Linked DNA regions of Drosophila melanogaster. The protein of the gene in region 1 interacts with the protein of each later gene in a pairwise test. Each region holds a gene or a part of one and is shown in the gene's direction. Other genes may lie near its edges.

The links.
Region 2: the proteins of Uros2 (region 1) and l(2)05714 interact in a two-hybrid assay, tested with the Drosophila melanogaster proteins (one large-scale study listed by BioGRID).

Annotation. Positions count from the first base shown.
Region 1 is NT_033777.3:15,786,939-15,790,041, forward strand, and holds Uros2 (uroporphyrinogen III synthase 2), read left to right. Parts: upstream 1-1,582; 5' UTR 1,583-1,665; coding exon 1,666-2,427; 3' UTR 2,428-2,556; downstream 2,557-3,103. Other genes in the region: CG9590 (uncharacterized protein), read left to right, coding at 1-820, 880-1,267; c(3)G (crossover suppressor on 3 of gowen), read right to left, coding at 2,850-2,951, 3,010-3,103.
Region 2 is NT_033779.5:4,969,627-4,973,377, reverse strand, and holds l(2)05714 (lethal (2) 05714), read left to right. Parts: upstream 1-1,892; 5' UTR 1,893-2,081; coding exon 2,082-2,324; intron 2,325-2,593; coding exon 2,594-3,166; 3' UTR 3,167-3,231; downstream 3,232-3,751. Other genes in the region: CG14043 (uncharacterized protein), read right to left, coding at 1-1,566; Polr1C (RNA polymerase I and III subunit C), read right to left, coding at 3,232-3,751.

The DNA of each region.
Region 1 (3,103 bases):
ATCAGGAAAAGCTGGAAACTCCCAGAATTTCTGCTCCAGCAACAGCATCCGCCACATCCTCGTCCTGGGGTCTGTGGGGCGGTAAACTGAGCTCCGTGCTAACCACCGCCACGGAGGGATTGGGCACGATAACCACCCAAGTCAACCAGGGGCTTAATCAAATCATCGGAGTGCCCGATCCCGAGGAGCTGGCTCGCATTAATGTGGCTGAAAAGGCGGAAAAGGCTGCTAAAGCGCCGCCAGAGGAAAATGTCGACGATGAAAAAGAATCTTCGGCCGCCTTTGGCTTGGACTTTGTCACCAATCTGGGCTCCAAGGTTCTCAACACCGGACTGGATACACTCGAGGGCATTGGCAAGAAGACCATGACCATCCTGCAGGACAACGATCCCAAGCTGATGAACAAGAGGAAACTGCTCGGTCTGGAGGCCAACTCGCCTAATTTGAGTGCCGTGTTGCTGGAGGCAAAGAAGGAGGCCGACCAAATGGAGCAATCCCTGCAACAGCTACAGCTGAAAAGACAGAAGGCGCAGCTGCGTTTCGAAATCCTTTTCGAAAATTACTGCGGCCTGGTGCACTTCGAGGCCCTGGAGATCCTTTCCAAGGAGTCACGCCTCAAACTGGACACCCTACTCGATGCGGTTAGTGGCAATGCCCGTGCAGAGTTGCAGGAAACGATAAACGAGGTGAAGGAACTGATCGAACTGGAGGATCTGGATGTGGAGAGTGAAGGTGACTACGAGGCGGAGGAACTGAGCGAGCGATTGGCGGCCACAATCAAGGACGCCGAGCTGGGCATTCAGTTTGACGACATAGCCAAGTAAGTTGTCGGAAACTAATATTATTTAAACATACCATAAACCCAAATCTTTTGTACAGTCACTGGACGCAGTCCCTCAGCTGGTTGACCTCAGAGGAAGCAACTGCCGCCGATCTGGAGCAAGCCTATGCTAAGAGCATCCACGCGCTGAGTGAAGCGTGCGCCCTCGAGATGTGTAAGCTGCACAAAATCGCCGAGCTGTTGCTGGTGAAGCCACATCACAGCACCGCCAACGAAGTGGATGGCGTCGTCAATCTCTGCCAGCAGTTCAATGGACACCTTCAAGGACTTAGCCACCGCTTCGCCGCCGTTCTGAGCGGCAAGTCAGAAACGGAGGAATCAAAAGGCCGGGTCAGCACATTCTTTTCCGAAATGCTATCTGCCGTGCAGTTCATCGAGAAGGCCTACAAGCTATTTACACCCATTCTCCAGATGGGAGCTGTGTAAACGGATTTAAGATTAATTGTTGTACTTTCTACTTTTACTATTGCCTGGTTAGTGTTCTCAACTCACTTGTTTTTCCATATAAATGTACAAAATTATAAATGATTGCGTTGCAAATGCTTGTGATAACATTCCCGAAATTATTGAGAAGTTTTTTCAAAGTGCAACTGAAAGTTCGGTAGCCTGCATTCGTGTTTGGTTGGATTAGAGCCACCTAATAATAGTTGGCTTCAATGTGATGAACTATTTTTAAAACCCGACTCTCGATAGGCGCGGCAATAATTTTCAGGCATTATCTATTCTATGCCCTTTCTATTCGAACTATTCTATAAATCAAACGCAAAACACGAATATCAAATTGTCCATTCTCTAGTTAAGTCCAGCAAAATTTAGTTAGAATCATGGGAGATCGCAACAAGCAGCCGGTTATTCTGCTGAAGGTTCCGTCCTCCGATGATTTCTATGGTTCGGCGTTGCGCAGCCATAACCTGGATCCCATCTTCATTACTCCCTCGCATTTTGTGTTCAAGAATCTGAAGCAATTGCAAGCCAAGTTGCATGAGCCGCACAAATATGCCGGGATTATATTTGCATCCCCGCGCTGTGTCCAAGCTGTAAACGAGGCACTAGGAAAGACACCACTTCCTAGTTGCTGGCGTGCGTTACACAATTATTCCCTAGGCAAGAACACGCACAGCGCCGCCTGGATAACATTCCAGAATCTTCCGACTCTGGGCGATCATGCCGTGAATGCAAACAATCTGTGCGATCTGATCGTGGAGACGTTTGGACCCAAGAGGGATCTGCCACTGCTCATGCCCTGCGGCAATGGCGTGGGTCAGACACTGCGCCTCCGTTTGGTCGCCCAGGGATTCCGGGTGGATGCCTGCGAAGTGTACGAGAGTCGGTCGCATCCGGATTTCGTCAATCAGATGCGGCACGCCCTCAAATTCAAGCGAATGGAAACGATTGTGTTCTTCGGACCCTCCAGTGTCCGCAGCTCCTTGGAGTTCTTTGGGAACTACAACGTTTCGCTTAAGGATCGCAAGCTGATAGCCGTGGGCAGTGGCACCAGGAAGGCAATGGAGGAATCTGGAATTAAGGCGGACGGAGTCGTGAATGCTGCTGACGTCGACCGCCTGATAAATATCATCAAAACATAGTTTAGTATCGATCATTTTACGTTTTGTTTTTACCAGTTTTTACTTTTGGTATGATTTCAAAATCTGTTTGGTGTCCTTTAAAGAAATGAGGACAAAAGTGTGTTATTAATTAAAGTGTTTCAACAAAGTACATGTAATGTTTTTATTACAAAAACTATAATCAAATAGATTGGATCTATTTGAACAAGATACTTCAAGATATGAGTTTTAATTTAACAATTAGATACAAAATGGGATTAAATAACATAAAGTAATCATGTTCTTAAAAATAGCTTGCCAGTTTCAGACAAGTTTTCAAAGAAGTACAGATGTTTAAATGATGATGGATCTGAATGAATTTCTAAGCTCAATATTCTTCCATTTTACTAAAAACAAAGTGTAAGAATTGATAATGTTGTCTGTATGTTCGTTGTACTGCTTAGTTATTTAGAATTCTTCAACATGTCGAACATATCAATATTATTTTGTGGCTTGATGGGCGCACATAATTTGGCACGTTTGCCGCTTAAAGAGTTGCCCACGATCTGTAATAAAAGTTCAATAATTTAATTTCGATTATAGGTGCAATTAACAAATACTCACTGGTATATCATCGCCGCTATCAAAGTCGGAGGAATATGTGGTAATTTTTTGACGACGAGCATTACGCTTTCTGGCAGTGCTTGAAAATTCGTCT
Region 2 (3,751 bases), on another chromosome or scaffold:
GTGGGCGTAGAGCATGTGGCGTTGCTCCTCCACGTCCATGTTGGGTCGCCATTCCTCGCTGGGCGGTTTGACCAGATAGGATTTGACATAGCTCTCAAAGTGCTTGATGGCCTTCATACAGCTCTGATTGACCTTCTTGATGTCCTCCGGCGCTGGCGTGCTAGTGGCCCGAATGATGTCGAGACGGACATCCATCACGGCAGCATGAGCTGTGCCGGCTCCATACCAGCATTCTCGGCATATCTTCATGTAAAAGATGGGGTCAAGCAGATCCAAAAGATCTTCCAGATACTTGGCGCGACGCTTTTGCATCTTGGCCTGGTTTTCTGGATTCTCCTCGAAGAAGGCAATGTGCTCATACGCTTCGGCGTAATCCTGCATTATCTTTGAATACTCAGTAGCTTCGTTCTCGGCCTTGTAATAGTCCTTGGCTATGTCGAGCCACTCGTTCACAAAATGAAACACCAACTTGGCATCGTCGAAGGTCAGGCAGTATTCACAACTAATACGATTTTCACACGCGGTGAGGTCAAGTCCAGGAAACCGGGACTGTTCCGCCTCGACCAGCCGCATATTGCGCAGAACGATCTCCAGGTTCTTGGCATCCTCGTCATCTTCGTCCCGCATCAGCCGAAGCTTGGATGTGTTCATTAAATACAATCCATATTTGGCCCAACAGCGTGCCACATCGGCGTAGCGATGTTTAAAGGTCTCCGACACGTCCTGGCGCTGCTTCTCGCTCATCTCCGGCTCCAGCATGTGCACCTCATATTCGGCCATGATGAGCGTAGCAGCGGCCAGGTGATGACGGGCCTCCTCGAAGCGCTTCTCTCCAATATAGAACTGTGACAAGGTGGCGGTGTTCAGTGCGAAATCAATGGGATCGTATGTTTTTGACTCAAGCTGTCGATGGAGGGTGCGATGGCAGCACTTGGCCGACTTTTCCGGCTCACCCAAATGCCCGTACATTTGCGCCATGTAAAATGAGACTAGCGTGTACAGGGATTCCAGTTCCTTGGGACCAGCTTCGTGAGATTGTTGTCCCTCCTCCGGAGGATTGAACACATCTTGAATGGCCAGGGGCTTCAGACCACTGGCTTTGAAGTCCTCGTAGATTTTTTCTGCCTCCAGGAGAATTTCCAGTCCCTTATTGTACTCTTCCTTGGAGGCCAGCACAATGCTAAGCTCGTTGATTGCCCCAATGAATGGAATGATGCCCTCAGGGCACTCCTTAAACGGCGTGACTAGTTCCAGACAACGATTGAGCATCTTTTCGCCCTCTGCCTGCTCCTCTGTGTAGATGTAGATCCTGCCTAGATCCCGGCAAACGAAGGCCAACAGAGAGTGATAGCAGCGATCGTCCTGACCACCGTCCTCCTCGCTGGCCTGCACAGATACCAGTTGGTCGTCCAGCTGCTTCTTCAAGACAATTAGCACATCGCGCGCTTTATAATGGGAGCGGAATGGATCCGTGGGCGGATCATTGCGGCTCTCCTCCTCCACCAGACGGTTGGCCTTCTCGTATAGCTCCTTGAAGTCGCTTAGGATCTCCTTTGGAATGACCATGTTGGCTGAGCACCCACGGTGCAGGCAAAAGCTATCCTGAATTCGGCAAAGCCTTTTTATTTACTATATTTTTTCTCTATGAGTGTGTAGTGTGGCCGTATTGTGACTGCTTAAACTTTACCTGAGACCCAAACCATGAAAGAATATTTTATTTAAAATCTCAAACTAAATTAATTTGAACTATGTACAAGTAAGGTATTTTCAAAAAGTACATAACACAACCATAAACGCCTCTAATATAAACTTGAAGGCATAAAATGTTTATATAAACAAAACAGCTTAGTGTGACCGTTGCGCAGCAACCTCTATGTCGCAACCCTGGAATTAATTGCTGGTATTATAACGTATTCGATTACAGTCACACCGCATCGACTTTCAGATTTTTTTCGCGTCGCAAATTTTTGGAATATACCAAAATATTTACCACCATCAGCTATTAAAGACTGCTTTTGGCGCTCATCTTTCAAAGAATACTTTTCCACAAATCAGACAAGCTTCATCCGAAAGCGGGCACAATGCTGAAGGGTTACAAGACGGATGAGGACAAGAAGGTGAAGCGACTGTACCACCAACGCTATCGCACAGAGTGGGAGAAATATCCGGAGCTCTCCAGCTGGCTGGCGTCTAGTAATGACGGTTACTCGGCGCACTGCAAGATCTGCGACATCAATGTCCTCGCCAGACTAGCGTCCATCAAGCAGCACCTCGCAACGCGGAAACACCAGGAAAGTTTCAAGTACCACAACATTCTTGCCAAGGTGGGATTGGGTTTGTGCATAAGCAATAGGAATGACCCGTGTCCATTATTGATTCAAATATTTTGCGATCCAAACTAAATTTCAAACACGATTTTTGTGTGAGTTTTCGCCATACTTTTCGTTAACTATTCCATTGACTACTTCTTGTGCAATGGTTAACCAAACCAGTAGCTCCCTCTATGCGATGCACAACTTATCGCTCCAAAAAAAAAATTCTCATCTCATTACTAATTTACATAAAATTAACAACTCCGTATTTATACCTACAGAATATGATTAAGGGTGAACTTGTCAAAGATGAGCATGACCCAGACTTGGAGGCCTCCATAATTTCACCCAAAGCAAAGCCCAAAGCCAAATCAAAGACCTATCCAAGGCAAAAGCCAAGGAGCAAAATGCAGCCAAAGATCAAGAACGACACGAAGGTGGAGAGCATGGAGGAGGAGACGGAGGAGGACGAAATCGCCTCGAACGACTCAATCCTGGATGATTTACTCAGAACAGATCAGCCCTATCAAGAGCAAGAATTTGAGGTTGAGAACGAGTTCCTCGAAGTACAACAGAATGAAACAGATCTCCAGGACCAAGAGGTGGTCTACGAGGAAGAGATGATACAGCTCAAGCCGGAAGATACGGAGATTAATAACGAATACCAAGTCGACGCGATGACGGAAGACACCATTATTAGTGAATTTGACTTGTTTGGCAAGAGTTTGGCTCTGCAGCTGAACAACATGGACCTGGAGGACGCACTAATGTGCCAGGAGCGTCTGCAGGTGGTCCTAACGGAATTTCGCCTGAAGGTGCTCAAGCGCAAGAGAGAGCAAGCACGATCTTCGTAGGCTTACAATTTATATCAAGCTGTCTTATGTACATAATATAATTTCTTTAACAACTAAATAAATAACTATTCTGCCTCAATTTCGTCAATTAGCGCCCGGCACTTTCTCTTCAATACCTTGACCGCCTCCAGGAAGATGACATCGGGCTTCAGTGCGCCGACTGATTCCACGGAGAAAATGTAGTGATCTCGGATACGGGCCAAAGTCACAGCGTCGTTTAGCTGGGGATAGCGATACACATTTCGGCTGCACGTGTCGTAGCGTGCATCCTTTACATAGGCAGTTTCATTCTCGTCAATGCCAATTACTCCTGGTGAGAAACAGTTCTGTAATAGGTACGCATCCTTACCGGTCACCTCGCGGTTCAGCTTAATCATGGGCAGCAGTCGGTAGGTGGCCGTGGCCACCGGCGAGAATTTCGCGTGATCCCGTCCAAGTCCCTTAACCGCCACCAGGCGCAGATCCAACTCGTGACCCGGACGCAATTGGGCAATCAGTATGTCATCGTGAATGCAGTTCACAGCACTCTCGCTGTATATCTGCGCCTGCTTTCCTTTGGGCAGCCACTTCAGATGACCCGAGTAC